Oryzias latipes: one gene and its partners. The protein of the gene in region 2 interacts with the protein of the main gene of each other region in a pairwise test. Links are inferred from orthologs where the notes say so. Each region holds a gene or a part of one and is shown on either strand. Other genes may lie near its edges.

What was found.
Region 1: the proteins of srek1ip1 (region 2) and prr13 interact in binary tests that used the Homo sapiens proteins (3 or more experiments, as listed by UniProt). The link is inferred for Oryzias latipes from reciprocal best matches to the Homo sapiens genes SREK1IP1 and PRR13.
Region 3: the proteins of srek1ip1 (region 2) and stac3 interact in binary tests that used the Homo sapiens proteins (3 or more experiments, as listed by UniProt). The two-hybrid records come from large-scale screens. The link is inferred for Oryzias latipes from reciprocal best matches to the Homo sapiens genes SREK1IP1 and STAC3.
Region 4: the proteins of srek1ip1 (region 2) and hsd17b14 interact in binary tests that used the Homo sapiens proteins (3 or more experiments, as listed by UniProt). The two-hybrid records come from large-scale screens. The link is inferred for Oryzias latipes from reciprocal best matches to the Homo sapiens genes SREK1IP1 and HSD17B14.

The regions. Positions count from the first base shown.
Region 1 is NC_019863.2:10,423,632-10,427,704, reverse strand, and holds the start of prr13 (proline-rich protein 13), read left to right. Parts: upstream 1-1,273; 5' UTR 1,274-1,398; intron 1,399-2,769; 5' UTR 2,770-2,822; coding exon 2,823-2,838; intron 2,839-2,916; coding exon 2,917-3,455; intron 3,456-4,073. UniProt on the Homo sapiens protein: Negatively regulates TSP1 expression at the level of transcription. This down-regulation was shown to reduce taxane-induced apoptosis.
Region 2 is NC_019862.2:11,630,851-11,634,350, forward strand, and holds part of srek1ip1 (protein SREK1IP1), read left to right. Parts: intron 1-919; exon of another isoform or gene 920-1,077; coding exon of another isoform or gene 1,078-1,090; intron 1,091-1,434; coding exon 1,435-1,482; intron 1,483-1,993; coding exon 1,994-2,152; intron 2,153-2,316; coding exon 2,317-2,389; intron 2,390-3,079; coding exon 3,080-3,314; 3' UTR 3,315-3,500. UniProt on the Homo sapiens protein: Possible splicing regulator involved in the control of cellular survival.
Region 3 is NC_019865.2:7,551,761-7,555,974, reverse strand, and holds the start of stac3 (SH3 and cysteine-rich domain-containing protein 3), read left to right. Parts: upstream 1-1,414; 5' UTR 1,415-1,722; intron 1,723-2,376; 5' UTR 2,377-2,409; coding exon 2,410-2,417; intron 2,418-2,855; coding exon 2,856-2,934; intron 2,935-3,204; coding exon 3,205-3,361; intron 3,362-3,509; coding exon 3,510-3,607; intron 3,608-3,777; coding exon 3,778-3,838; intron 3,839-4,149; coding exon 4,150-4,214. UniProt on the Homo sapiens protein: Required for normal excitation-contraction coupling in skeletal muscle and for normal muscle contraction in response to membrane depolarization. Required for normal Ca(2+) release from the sarcplasmic reticulum, which ultimately leads to muscle contraction.
Region 4 is NC_019866.2:3,307,114-3,311,111, reverse strand, and holds the start of hsd17b14 (17-beta-hydroxysteroid dehydrogenase 14), read left to right. Parts: upstream 1-1,198; 5' UTR 1,199-1,368; coding exon 1,369-1,450; intron 1,451-1,525; coding exon 1,526-1,564; intron 1,565-1,649; coding exon 1,650-1,741; intron 1,742-1,837; coding exon 1,838-1,904; intron 1,905-2,002; coding exon 2,003-2,094; intron 2,095-2,817; coding exon 2,818-2,922; intron 2,923-2,992; coding exon 2,993-3,060; intron 3,061-3,989; coding exon 3,990-3,998. UniProt on the Homo sapiens protein: Catalyzes the NAD(+)-dependent oxidation of L-fucose, yielding L-fucono-1,5-lactone, which rapidly converts spontaneously to L-fucone-1,4-lactone. Can also act on D-arabinose and L-galactose, with lower catalytic efficiency. Does not use NADPH.

The DNA.
Region 1 (4,073 bases), on a different chromosome or scaffold from region 2:
GAATTATTCTGATCCAAATCTAGGCCCATCAATCCTCCCTGTGATTATTTCCAGGATTAAATGAATAAACTCCAGGCTAGTCTTAAAAGCAAATAACTATAAAAAGAGCCAAATCAGCCAATCTTTTGAACGTCCCTTCCAAGTGAACTGATTCAAAAGATTCAGCTCCCTAAAAAGAGCCATAAATCCCAAATGTGAGGTAGAGAAAATTTTCCTTAAAAAAAGTGTGTGTGTGTGTGTGTGGGTGTGTGTGTGTGTGTGTGGGGGGGGGGTTGATTGAACAGCGGAAGAAAAAGGTGGGTTTGTGGCGAGTACTTGAAAGTCATTTAGGAAGAACGCTGTACTTCAAAGTCCTTATTTGTGATTTTGCATATGAGAAGGCTCGACATTTGGCTTTGAGTAAACAAAGTTGAGCAAGTTAAAAGGTTTGAAAAAGAAGCTTGACTTACTAATTTGCTATTCATTCACGAGTTAAGTTTTATTTAAATGATAAATCACATATGGTTTGATGGTGCTTTCATTTAGCTGACTTTTTTTTAATCTCCACTGATAATATTGTTTTTTTCATGAAGAAGTTTATTTCTTATTTAAGAATCAGTTTTGCTGTGAATATATGAAACACAAGAAATTCTATTGTATTCGGAGTTCTCACTTCATAACTGTCTCTCACCAAATTGTTTTACTAAATATATAAAAACAAACAAAAAAACAAACAAACAAAAAGATCATGAAAATTGTGTAAACCTGATAAAAGTGAATTCAGTTTGGCTGATACAGTCTTGTTATTATATCATGGGCACAATGACTCATTGTTGTGTTTTGATGACCAAATGGAAAGCAGACAGTAATGGAAAAAAATAACTGCCAGTTATTTGTGGCATAGTGGTACAATTTCATACAAGTTTTATTTAAAAATTTGGTTAATACTGAATTTAAAAAGGGGTTTGGTTATTGTATTTCATTAATAGCACGATATTTTATTATTAGGTCTATAAAACTCATTTTGATGCAAAATTATGAAAGTCCGTCTGTAAATACTGTTTTGTTCAATAAAAAATCCTGCTATGAGCTTGAGCAAAAGTTAATTGTTAAACTTTTCTTTAAATAAAAAGAATTACAGTGGATCCATGATGTAATGGACATTTTCAGATAAAATCATTTCCATTATGGTCGTATTTCCTTTGGACACACCCTGTGGTGACAAACTCCGTCTTTTGTGATTGTGACATTGAAAGTATTAAATGAGCTTTCAACGTGGGCACAATACTGTGCATTCTTGATCGGAGGTGGGCGTGGCTTCCAGGCGCAGTCTCAGTTAACTGCAGAGCTCAACGCGGAAGACAACAAGAAGCTCCGGGTTTCTAAGTGACGTCGAACAAGCAGAGGCAAGTTACTCAGGTAAGCTTTTGGAACCTGGCATTTTGTTATAGGCAGTGCGACAGATGTTGACAGTAGATAATTCGGAAATATCTCGTGTTTTAAATGCAGGATATTCGGTAAGAGGCCGAACTTTGCGTGAATTTCTTAGCCGAAGAAAAATTCCTCGAGGGGTTCGTTTTGCGACATCTAGGCCTGCTTTGTGGCAGGCGGAGAAATAATGCAGGTCCAGTGTAGATTTAATAGATGTATTAAAATGGACTTAAAATAAACAAATAACTGCGTCAAGATACTTTAAACATCAATGTTAGCTGTTTTACTTTCTTTTTGTTGTTTTGTGTGTCAGTGATGTTTAGATTTCAGTTTTTATAGACTTTTGGGCAACTTCTCAAGCTTGTTTAATGATCTCATTCTACCAATCTTGTGTTGTGGTTAAATAATTCTATTATTTGTGTTTATTTCTTCCATTGATGTAAAATATAAGATTGCAGTCTTATCATCATGGCTTTCAGAGATTTGCTCAGTTGAGCTCCCACTATTCACTTGTCCAACAGCTGTAGATTACCCTTTATTTCCCAACTGTTACGTTTAACACAAACTGGTTTTTGAAAGATAAAAATATGAAGAATTTCTTGTTGAAAATTGTTGGTTCCCTGGATTCGAACATACAGATCATGTTTCCACACTGAGGTGTGTCCGACCTGAGGTGTGTCAAAATCACATGATGCAAATGTTGACGTTTTTTGTTTGTTTTACAGATGACTATTTTATGTGAGAACCAAACTGTCAAGAAAACAAAACAAAACCCTGCTGAATATAAACTATATCTAATCCCCACACACAAATCTGTGAAGAATCAATGGATCAAAAAATTTGGAGTTTTATTGCATATATAATAAGAAAATATATAATGAGATACTTAAAATATGATTCATATTATTACATTTCTATTCTTCCTCACTTTCATGTACATCCTAAAAGGTAATTTACAAATGTGTGTCAATTATTCTGGTTTTAAAACAAAATGCTGCAATCACATGTGACGTTTTGAGGGGGGGGGGGGGGGGGGGTCCCTCCACAACAAGTAGCATTTCCCTTGGTCTCCAACTGCGGTGCCGTTGGCTCTGTTGCAAATTTTTGTCAAAAACCGAGCTAAAATGAACTTCTCAAGACTTGTTTCTATTGTTCAAAAGATGTTGTTAAATGTAATTTATAGAATATTCAACTGTTTTTAACGGTAGGTTGGACTTGATTGAACAAAAGTAACTAAACTGAAATGGGAAATTATTTACTTCTAGGTTTTAGTTTTAATTTTTATATGATTGTAATGTTGACTTACTGCCCTTTTTAATCATATTTTTATATTGATTTTCCTTTCTGCTTGTTTGTCAGGATTCTATTGTGACACCTGATGTGTGTTTGTCATTAGGCTCTACACCAAAACCATGTGGCCAAATCAAGGTGGGATATCAAAATTCTTTATAAATGTTTGTATTACCTAATGCAATGTCAGCCACAAAATGCTTTATTTTGGATCAGGTCCTCCCCATTCAGTGCCTCCACCAAACCCAGCCTTTGCCCCTGGCTACAACCCTGCATATCCTCCTGTGCCTCCAGCAGGAGTCTTTCCTCCACAACCAGTATACCCAGCTGGTCAGTACCCAGCTGGTCAGTACCCAGCTGGTCAGTACCCAGCTGGTCAGTACCCAGCTGGTCAGTACCCAGCTGGTCAGTACCCAGCTGGTGGGAATGTCGCCATGGGACCACATGGAGCTCCAGGAATGATGCCATATGGAGCACCTGGAGCTCACCCGTATCCCATGGCTCCAGGTGGAGTTCCAGGAGTCCCACATGCTGGTGTTCATCCAGGTCACTACCCACACTCTCCAAAAGGGGGGCACCACAAAGGGGGGCACCACAAAGGGCATCATCATGGAGGAGCCATGCCAATGGGTGGAGTAGTAGCGGGTGGGGTTGCAGGAATGGGAATTGGGCTGGTTGGACATAAAGCCAATAAGAAGATGAAGAAAAAGATGAAGAAGGCTCATAAACAAAAGCATGGACACAAACATGGCAAGGTGAGGTTGTGCTTGGGTGAAAGAATGCTAGTTAATGTTTGTCTTGTATGGCGCTTCATCTCTGCCATAAAGTGAAAGGGCGTAAAGACAACTGAGCGGGTGTATTCGGAAACTGAGTGAGCAAACCTTACAACCGCGCGGGCGCAATTCTAACCGAGCGACTCCGTATTTTAAAACTGCACGCCTGCAATCCTAAATGAGCGGTGATCCCTCGCGGTCAATTTTCCTTTGCGCCCCTGCTTGGATTTACACGCTCAGTGTTAAGGCCTGTTCACACCGGGACGAATTTCGCCGGCGATTTTCGCCGACGTTTAACGCCTCGTGACTAAACAAAGGGCACCAACGAGAGTGTGCACACCGACGCGAAAAAACGCCACGCGTTAAAGCGTCAAAAAAAAAAAACGCCTTGGGTTCGTTTTTTTTTTCGACGCGTCGCGTCGAAATCTACTCGACCAATGAGAATGGCGCTTTTGCTCACGTGTCTGGAGCTTCTGAAGTTACAGTAAAACACAACTTGGGGGCGCTCAAACACAAAACTGCCTTGCTGAGCACACATACCAGCGAAGAAGATAGACGCCAAGTAGCGTCTACACAGCCGCGAAGCAATAATGACGGACA
Region 2 (3,500 bases):
GTCTTGGAAAAAAAAGATCTAGAATCAATAAAATGTAATATAATTTAAAGACAAAGTAAACCAAATGTTGCTTGAACTTTAGTCAAAATGTAAGTAAAATAGGAGAAAGTTTTTTCAAAGATAAAGTAAATGTAAGATGTTCTTAAAGAGAGTACGGTAGTATTATTAGATGTAACTTCGTCATACTATTTTGATTTTTAATTTAGTTTGTTTTGACTATTGTGATTAAATTTGAATGCTTTATTTATTTATTTTTACAAATTTCTGTTCTAATATGAGCTAAGCAATGTGATAAGCACAAGATCAAAGCTTTGTTTAAGGTTTAAGTCTCCTCCGTCCTCTTCAGTCATGGGGCCTATCTGTTATAAGAACGATTCGATTGTGCAGCCCTAATAGTTTCAATGCAGAAAAATGTTGCACTTATTCTGGCAGTTCCTGAGCCATACAGTGTAATCAAAAGCTGGAAATGGTGTGCGTCAGTGATCTTGTACCGCAGCCACAGACAAATGACAGCATGTCTGGAGGCCTCACATCTGTCTACAATTTCCATCCGTGACTCTAACCCGGAATGTCTTCAATTAATCCCTGCAACTATACGTTTGCCATTTAAAGTGATCAGGAAGGTCTGAAATGATACAGAAATACTTTTTGGTTTTAAAAAAGTAAAGTGGTGAACTCAAATTAAGCATCAAGTTTTCAATTGTTTTAATGTGTATATATATTTTTTGTTTTAATTAAGCAGTATTCTGTTCCTGGTTGATGTATTTACTTTTAAATGTATAGGAAGCAAAGAATACAGATTCATCCCAGTTAGGTTTTTCCTGTTTATTGATGTTTGAAAGAGGAAAAGCTTGAAAAACATCATACAGAGGAATTTGTTCAAATACAACTTCCATCCACGTGGGGGCGACACCGAGCCGCTGGTCTGTGACTGAGGACACAAGAACAAGATAAGGTGGAACGCAGTAATTTCCAGAACAAATGTTTCCGGACGACGATATTTTCCTCCAGGACTGTTTTGGCTCGCGCTGAACTTATTTTTTAATTTTTTGTACTTTTTTCGTCGTGTGAAGATCAATGGCTGTGCCAGGTTTGACATTTTATGTTTGTTATTCAGGTTTGTTGGTGAAGAAATACATCAACGCCGGCTCTTTACTAGCTACAAATGTAAACTGCAATGTATCCATGAAAAATTCCAATTTACTGTATTTTTTTGTTTTGTTTATATATATACAAACAAAGACCAGGCGTACAGTTAAAAAGTGTTAAAACTATAAAGCTGTAATAGCTTAAGCGCCGAGTGTGCCACCATACCTACTTTTCTTTTTTTTAAATTTATAACTTTACTGGTCTCTAATAATAATCCTACTTCGATCTCAGTATATATTTAACATCATATTTTGTTGAAACATGCGTCTTTATGTTATATTCTAGGACCAAATAAGGACAATATCAGGGCTGGATGTAAAAAGTGTGGATACGGTTAGTATTTGTTTATTTTTCGCTATGGGTTTTAGATTTAGTGTTATCAGTTTATCTGTTATGCACATTTTAGTTTAGTTTAATTTAGTTTAGCTTAATAATTCAATATATACTTGTTTTGCACACAATGCAAAATTAGTGCCAAACATACATTGACATATCTATAGGTATATAACGTGGGTTGCTGCTGTTGCAGAATAATTTTAGTAATCTTCTTTTTTATATCAATAATTTTGTCTTAAAGTAATTGTGATTTCTGTTTGCTATGGCTGTTAAAGGGCTATAGTTGTTGTTGTTTTTTTGTTAGAGACAGTCAAACAGCTTTGACCTAATTATATATTTTTCAGAAAATGCAATGCTTTGTAATGTGTAGTTACAGCGGCAGATTAAAAAACATTTTGGGGCTTTTTTTAGATATTAGTATTAATTTAATTAATACTGTATAGTTTTAACATTTCAGCAATATAAATATCTTCATTTATGAACAAATCTCACTAATTCTGTTCCTCAGCGGGTCATTTAACATTCGAGTGTCGAAACTTTGTGCGAGTTGACCCCCAGAAAGACATAGTTCTGGACGTAAGCAGCACCAGCACAGAGGAGAGTGAAGACGACATCCCTGTTCCTCCCAGCAGAGAGAAGCTAGGAAGGAGGGGTCAGCATCAGAAAGGTCAGATCTGAATTCTCTTCTTTCTTTTTTGTGAAGTATGTAATTTTTTAGAGTTAAATACAAATTCCATAAGTTTCCTTGCATTCAATAAAAGCAGAATCATTGATCTGCTTTTGAGTGATTGAAAAATTGATCCAATGTGGTCTTTGATTCTTGTGCTTTAGCTTCCGATGATGATGATGAAAGAAAAAAGAGGCGTAAAAGGAAGAAGAGCAAGGACAGAAAGTCAAGAAAAAGGTGATTTTTATTTACTTTGTCTTTTAACATTTATCTAATGCAATAGAGAACTGAACTCCTCTTAATTTGTTTTCATTCTGTGGTTTTGCTTTACTGTTGTGTAAAATTGCTGGAAGTTAGATAATACAGTTTCTGCTCTATTTCAAAGCCGTTGTGTACTTTATTTTTCTTTTAATGGTACTTGTCTTATTGAAATGACTACAGGCATTTTTGCTTTAGTCGTGTCAGTTTCCACCTGCCTCTCAGTTGAGCAAAATATGGACGCAAAAGCAGCTGAATTACTGCCTCATGTTTAATGAATTCTATTGCGTGTCCTAAGTTACTGTTCTTGTATCTACACCTCCCAGTTCTGTGATCGTTATCACATGTGCATCAACGACCGTGTGCAAAATTCCGGTACCAGTACTCTTATTGTTGTTTAACAGAAACAATTTGGTTTGCACACCAGGTTTTTCTGTAAACAAACCTTTTAGTAAATCAAGCTGGAATGGTAGCACAGAGGTATTAACCCTGTTTCCACCATCTGCTCGATAAAATAAGTCTTTCCAAACTAATGAAAAGCTGATTTTTCACTATGATTACATTTTGTACGATTTTACTCCCTTTTGAAACATTGAAACAGAGGTAGGTTTAGTTGTGTTGATTTAAAGGGATAGTCCATCCATTTTTTTTTTGTCTCTCTCTCTCCAGATCTAGTTCATCTTCAACTGAAGAAGACGCCCACAAAAAGCGGAAGAAACGCAGCAGATCCCATTCGGCTTCAGACCAAGAAGAGAGGCGCAAGAAGAAGAAAGATGGTCACAAGAAGAAAAGCAAAAAGACCAAAAAGGAGCATGGAAAGCATCACAAGAAGAGATTAAAAAAGAGGAAACATGCTTCGTCATCTTCCTCCTCTAGCTCCTCTGACTCTTCAGAATCTGACTGAAATGAGCAATAACGCAGATTCTGCATACGTAGTGCATCTCTAGCAATTCATGGTCCTGTTCCATCAAAATCTCCATCAGGTTAGAGTTTAAAATGTCACAGAATAAATGAAAACATGTGCATCTAATAGTGACTTTTGGATTTGTCTTTACCAAACCTTTTGGGTAAAAATGTATTTTTTTTATTT
Region 3 (4,214 bases), on a different chromosome or scaffold from region 2:
ACGTGTGTGGCAAACAAACACTGAAATATTTTACACTGATGACACGGCAGCTAGCGTGAAAGCTAATAGCCGGGCTAGCAGGCTAAGACTACTTTGTAGTATGTTGTCGTGACAGCTGTCAGGCGCACAAAACACTCTGATGCAAAAACTCTTGTATTAGCAACGGTTACAAGAGGCATCCCGTGCAAAACATTGTCTCGAAATAAACACAACAACTTTCCTATTCGAATTACTATGATTCACTTACTTACAGATATCCGTTAGAGGAGGTAGCCACAACAAACAACAAATGCTGATTAACCTTTTTTGCATTAAGCTCCGTGTTGGCTAAGTTTTGAAGTCTCCGCTTTTGGATCGCGGGTGAATCAAGTTAGCTAGTTAGCAAGGCGACTAGCCAGTGAATGTTTTGAAAATGGTTGGTACTTTCAACAATTAAGCGAGACTTTAACCATTACATAATCTAATTCACGAATTAGCGATGTTAACCAGCTATCAAGATTTACGCAACGTCTGACCGTCAGGTTTAAAAACAAAGAGCAGTAGCGCTTCATTTCACTGCGCTTGAGTTCCTGGGTAACCGCTACGAGCTATGCTAGTTAGCAAAGCTAAAGGACTGAAATTTACTTGGTTCTGGAGAGTCCCAGCAAAACCGAGGGATGTCCCGCTCCCCGTCCACAACGATCCGGCCGTTGCTTTTAGTCTCCGTTCTGCTGAACCGTGTGGAATTCACATTCAATTCAACAACCATAACGACCTATGTGATCCCAAATTCACATTTGCTCCTTGTGTTTTTTTTCTTTCCCTTTTTCTTACAAATTCCAAGCAAAAGAAAAAAGAAAAAAAAATAATAATGGAGTTTTCTTTTGGGCATGCGCACTCAGCGCGTCAGGAATATTGTACCCAAAATGCAACGGGACCTTTGTAACGCTTGTCTAGCGCAGGTTGGAGCGTCCTGACAGAGGACACTGCATATATATCTATATATCCATTTATATCTATATCTATATAGATATATATGCATCTACATATCTATATATCTAGATATATAGAGATATAGATATGTAGAGAGATTTTAAACTTTAAAACCAAGTCCAGATGACATCCCCTAAACCTACTACAATGGAACCAACCTGGATGAATGAGAGTCTTCATAGACATACATATAGAGATATGTATATAGATAGATATAGATATAAAGATCTATATCTATCTATATACATAGATAGATAGATAGATAGATAGATAGATAGATAGATAGATAGATAGATAGATAGATAGATAGATAGATAGGGGGGAGTGTGTGTATCCCCTTTTCCTCCCGACTCAGGCTTAGTGAGAGATACTCAGCTGTTGCAAACTGTCAAGTTCACTCAGTAATGCCAAGCCTGCCATGCACAAAAATACACACACTTGGGCATCCATAAATAGTTAGATCTTTCCAGTCCCTTTACACTATTTTGTATATTGGCATATGTAAATATATATTACTTTAGTGAGGTTACATTCAAAGTGTAAAATCCTCTGAAGCGAATATCAAGAAACCACAAATAGGGGACCAAAGGCCAAAAGGCCTGAACTGACAGGACATTTTGGGCGGCTGCTTTGTTGGAGTCAGTAGCACAGATCGTACGCCACACCAGTCATCGTCTTTTGCTCAAGACCCACCATAGAGTTTTGACAATATACTGGATTTGTAACTTCCTCCGTGGTCTTTCACTTAAGGTAGGCTACCATTGCATATATAAACAATGCCTGTTAATAACCATTTCTGTTTCTGTTCTGTAAGTAGATTAAATTTGTTAAGTGAATTGTTCACCACTCTTAAAATCTGTGTGGTTTATTTAAAACAATTTTGTTCAAGATGATAGCTTGGATTTCGTTACGTTTTTTTTCCTGACTAGAAAAAAATCCAAAATTTAGCAATTATGAGATTTCAAAACCCAAAAAGAGTTTGGGTAAAGCTGTAGGTGACAATTTGCAAAATCCAAGTTACACTGTCAAACACAAAATAATGAAGCATATTTGTTTTGTTTTGTTTTTTTACAAAAAATTTCTTTCTGTATTTGATATTTCAACTTTTGCTGTGTGAAATTGTAGGTTGGTTAATATAAACATGCGAAAGTAAATCTGTGGCTAAATACATTTTACATTGGCATTTGTCTATTTTTAAACACTGGCAGTCATAAAATCCTAAACATAGAAACGTAAGGGAGTGATTATATGAACTCTCACAATTAAAAAAGAAAAGAGGTCCTTTCAGATGTACATAAAATATAATATTTTATAAACCAAAGTTTTTATTTTATTGAAATCATTTAGAAATTCTAAATTTTAAGTCAATCAACCCCATGTCAAACGTTGTTCCATTATTTCTAGGTTGGAAAGTGTTGACTTTGTCTGCATTGCATCATGGATCAGTGAGTACAGATCCACTCATCATTTGTTCCGTCAGTGTCAAAATGTTATAAGCTTGTTAGTTATCAATTAACTTAAAACTCAACTTGATAAGTGATACTATTAGAGATCTTTTTTGCAATGAGGTCAAAGTCTACCTATTAATTTCTATAAAATAATTAACTGAAGTTATTTTATAAAATTGTATCGTTTAAGACGAGTGTCTTTTGTAACTTGGAGTAGATTTTTCTTCTGATTACATGGTTTCCATGATGCTTGTTTTTTTTTCCCTAGTCTGTCATGGTAAAATAAGTTCAGTAAGTTCTCCTTTAGTGTCATTGCTGAATAAACATGCACCAGTAGTAAACCTTTGAGTTTTATTTATTAATTCCAAAATTGTGTTTTTTTCCCAATCCGTGGCTTCGGCAGCTTATAGTTTTTTCCACGTTTATTTATCTCAGGGAGGATGACAAAAACTCTGTGGATATTCATGACAATCCTCCAGTCCCTGACAATGTAGTGAGGGAGGAGGGAGACACAGTGAGTGACAGCACCATGCCAACCACCCACCATTAGGGCCATTCCCAGGATGTTTAAAATAGCCACCAGTTGGAACAAGGCTGCAGTCCACTGTCAATTCTGAAAATATGACCTCAGATTTAGATTTCCCTGAAGATAGTTTTATACATGTAGTCTAGACAGTTTGTTTCATTGCCAAAACTCTGACTCATACAAATCGAGATTCTTTATGAACACCACCCTTAACATGTTTCACATTTTCTGCCTAAGCTGTTTCTGCTATTTCTCAAGGTCTACTTCATATATGAAGAGGAAGTTGAAGTGGAGGAAAAGGAACCAGAACCTCCCCCGGAACCCATTCTTCGGATCAATGACAAACCCCACAAATTCAAGGATCACTACTGCAAGAAACCTAAGTTCTGCGATGTCTGTGCTCGCATGATAGTCTGTATGTGCTCACCAGGATACGCAAATACACAACCAGTCCTGTTAAATTTCCCAAAGAAATGTGTTTAGATTGACTTTTCATAGTGATGCTATTTTCTACATCAAAATGATGTGTGACTTTTACTGTTTTTCATTTGCACATCTTGCAGTGAACAACAAGTTTTGTCTGAGGTGTAAAAACTGCAAAACCAATATCCACCATTCATGCCAATCCTATGTCGAGTTCCAGAAGTGTTTTGGCAAAATTGTGAGTTTTATTCATCATAAAAAATGTTATATTTTACACTGATATCAAAGAATATGCAGTCAAATAGATAGACAGTCAATAAAATCTGTGCAAACTCAGATTATTGTGTTTTATAATTCAAAGGCTATAAACTCTTATGAATATTTTATTTTTTATTTTTGTGTTTCTAGCCACCTGGATTTAGAAGAGCTTACAGCTCCCCTTTGTATGGCAGTGACCAACCCGATCCAAGTGAGTCCAGAAAAGTTAGCTCAAAATAGACATGATTATCATAATCACTATTTTGAAAAAAAGAAAGTTACTTGTGTTGGAAAATTGCTGTAGCTGATTCAACAATATAATTGAAATAAAGAAAAATTACACCAGTTTGTACAGAAAATCTCCTTTTGGCTTAGCATAAAAATTAGATTACATCTTCAAAGGTGACATCTAACCTGGACTGTAGGCTTCTGCATTACTAGTCTTTTTAAATATTACTATCAAGCAGTCAAAATTAAATAGATAAATTATTGATTCAGCTCAATAATTTTGCATTCCACCAGATAATCCAAACCGGAATGACCCCGTCTTTGACACCCTGAGAGTGGGCGTCATAATGGCAAACAAG
Region 4 (3,998 bases), on a different chromosome or scaffold from region 2:
GTCCAGCACCCGGTGGCCCCAATGGCGGCCGTCTGATGTGCCTGTCCTGTGGCCTTGGGGCCCAAACGGTGGGCTAACCTGTGCTCCGCAGTGATGGAAGGGCCCCCTAGGGTGTCCTTAGGACGGTCCCCTCCATTTGGGCCTTGGGGCCCAAACGGCGGGCTATCCTGTGCTCCGCAGTGATGGAAGGGCCCCCTAGGAGGGTCCCCTCCATTTGGGCCTTGGGCCCAAACGGCGGGCTATCCTGTGCTCCGCAGTGATGGAAGGGCCCCCTATGAGGGTCCCCTCCATTTGGGCCTTGGGGCCCAAACGGCGGGCTATCCTGTGCTCCGCAGTGATGGAAGGGCCCCCTAGGAGGGTCCCCTCCATTTGGGCCTTGGGCCCAAACGGCGGGCTATCCTGTGCTCCGCAGTGATGGAAGGGCCCCCTAGGAGGGTCCCCTCCATTTGGGCCTTGGGGCCCAAACGGCGGTCTCCTGCACCTTCTCTCTTGGTCCTACCGGTCATGCTGGGGAGGATCTGGTCCCCCTAATGATCACATGGTACACTTTGGCAGCGTGCTTGCATCTCCCCCCCCCCCCCCCCCCCCCCCCGGTGTGCATGTGCACGTGCACACTTATCCCTGTCTGCTTTATCCCTCCTCCTAACCCACAGATGGACAGATATCTTCCACTTATCTTGGTGTCAGATTTTCACTTTTGGATGTAACATTTGTCTTTCCAGCAGAAATAAAATATATATTTAAAACATAAAATATAATAAATAAATAACAAACAATTAAAATAAAAACCTAAAAGGGGTTTATACAGATATACACCTTGGCTGTCAGAAGATCCATAATAGTCAAATCTGTCCAACTCAAAAGGCTTTCAGCTCTTGTATGTTAGCTCGGTTGTTGGACAGGACAAGTTAAAATAAAAACACCACGTTTTTCGGGTCTAAAGTTATTTCTGGGCCTCTACCTTTTTATTTTATTTTTTAAAGGAGAAATAAAGACAGGCTGACTTAACAAATTTTAAAGGAACTTCAGAAATGTTTCCTCTTTTTATCTAAATTCTCACGAAACTGTCAGTTAAAAGGAGAAGTAATATATTCGAAAGCAAATTCCTTTCAGATTTTTAAAAAAAAAAATGTTTTTAATAGGATTGAAGAATTTCAGAGTTTCCAGTCTTCCCAGCGGCGCTTGAATGCAGCATAGTTTCTTTTTCGGTGCAGACGCAGACCTTTGCCCAGTCGCGGTGTTTCTGTGAGTCTCCCGCAGAGCACAGACCCGCCGCTCGCCTCTCCTGCTGCAGGACGCTGCGGGACGCACCGGCTCGCGGCTTTGCGGCGCTTCCGTGCACATCCGTGCAGGAAAAGCGCAAACACCATGTCCTTCCGCTACCTCGGCAAAGTTGTTATTGTGACTGGAGGGTCTAGAGGAATCGGCAGAGGGATTACCGAGGCCTTTGGTATTGGATCTGTCCACATTTCCAAATGGGTTGCAGGTTCAAGTCCAGTTCCCTGAAAGTCTGTTTGTTTTTCAGTGAGAAATGGAGCCAAAGTGGTGTTTTGTGCATTAGGAGGTCAGCAAAGAGACAGTCTTTCCCTTTTCTTGTACATTATCAAATTAGGCCTATTTGAAGTGTCTTAATTGTGTCACTATTGCAGAAGGTGACACTGTTGAGGCAGAACTGAACAGAACCGGACCAGGATCCTGCAAGTTTGTGAGATGTGATGTCACCAAGGAAGAGGACATCAAGGTGAAGTTCTGGGTTATTACAAGAATCCATCCAACCAGACTGGCGTTTTCTGTCATCCAGTCTGACGAGGGGCTTGTTTCCCACCCACCTCCACAGAGGCTGATCTCCTCCACCGTGGAGCTGCATGGACACATCGACTGCTTGGTCAACAACGCAGGCTGGCGTGAGTCTGCTCAAACCTCTCTGGCCTCCTGCAGACGTGTTGAAGACATTTTTGGAGACCTTTAGGTTGCTGTTTTGTTTGTTTGTTGTGATTTTCAGACCCTCCGCACAAATCCATCGATGACACCACAGCTGAGGAATTCAGAGATCTGCTCAACCTGAACCTCGTCAGCTACTTCCTGGCTTCCAAAGTAAACTTTTCTATGATTAGAAGAACATTTTATTTTACATTAGTTTCAATTATTTTGAATAAAACTGCAAAATCACTATAAAAAGAGCCTTTAGTAGTAAAAATATGAAAACATTGGTTCACAGTTTTCTTTTTGTGTTAGTTTTTAGTACCAAAGATGCTTTATGAGGACAACATTTTGTTTTAAGGATTTTCTTTTTAATTGTAGTGTATGAATGTCCAAAATAGAAAATGAACTTTTCCTAATAAGAACCCTACACTCTAAAAAAGAAATAAGTTTATCTAACTTAATTAAATCACATCATCCTCTCAACTCTAACTCATGGTGCAGAAAGAAAGAAACACAACAGTTTAAATTAAAACAGCTAGACAACAAAACACATGGACTCACACTTAAACCCCAATCTGCCTAGATAGGCAAAGAAAATGGTATCCCACAATTCTTTATCATGATGTCTTGACGCATTGACAGCTTCACACCGAAGTTACACCAACTTAATCAAATTAAGTTGATTAAAAGTAAAATAACAATGTCATTTTTAAGTTTAATGAACTCAAAAAACGATTTATTTTCACCAAACTGAATAATTAAATTAGATCAATGTGAAAAAGTTAATATTTCCAACTACAGCCCAAATACTTTTTTTAGAGTGTAACAAGAACCCTAATCAGAACACAGTTAGGACTGTTCTAACATCTTGTGTCCTTGTGTGTCTCCCTCCAGTTTGCGTTGCCATATCTGCGGCAGCGTCAGGGAAACATCATTAATATTTCCAGTCTCGTGGGCTCTATTGGTCAGAAAGATGCAGTGCCATATGTTGCCACGAAAGTGAGTGAATTTGGAAGGATGTTCTTAAGGCAGTCAGGCGGCTCCTGTAATGCGCTACTTTCTCCACTAGGGGGCGATCATCTCCATGACGAAGGCGATGGCTGTGGATGAGAGCCAATACCACGTGAGAGTGAACTGGTGAGGCATCCCAACTTCTCCACGCCTTACTTTAAGCTGAAGAATAAATTACTCAGTTGTGACCACATTGATAACTGATGTACATTAAGGCAGTAAAACCATCCCTTTGTGGTTTAGTAAGAACATTTATGCACTTTTTTAAATATTTTAATGCTACTTTTCAGATATTAATTGAAGAAAGAACAAAATATTAGTATATATGTATTTGTTTTTCTTAAGTAACTATGAATGTTTTCTTTATGGACTTCCATCTCTTGATACTAAATTTAAATCTTAATGTATGTGCCATAATATGTCCTTTGTTACTTCCTCTGGCTGTAACTCCCTAACATGTATTTATTTATTTATTGCACGCTTTGGAACTTCCATCCTCCCCTCTTTTTTTTATTGTACTCATTTTTTTACGTTCATCCAGACCTGAACTACAAACTACAAACAAAACGAAGCTGGACCAAGAATGAATGTACATTTTATTTGAGGAGAGAGGAAAAAATGTATGTTAAAGTGCAGGTACACTGCAGTCACAGAAGCTCCTAGTTTTTGTGAGCTTTTTCTAGTTGTGTTAAAAAACAGAACATTAAAAGCCTCATTTCTAATGCGGCAAACTAACAAACATTTAATTATATAAATTAAAAATTGTATCACATTAATCTGTGTTAAACATAGTTTCTGCAGAGCAGCAGGATTAAAAAAAAAATCTGCTCCTGATTCACAACAATATGAAAAAAGAAATATATAGAAGTTAAATTTAAAGCTTGTTTTTTTAAATCCTCAGAAAAAGATGTCAATAACATGTTGAAAACACCCAAAACTCTATTATCATCTAAGTGGGTCTTAAAGGATATTTACTAAAAGAAAGAAAACTGCTTTTATTTTGACATCTGTCGGTCTTTTCTGCCCTGCTAACACCTTTGTGTGATGTGGGACAGCATCTCTCC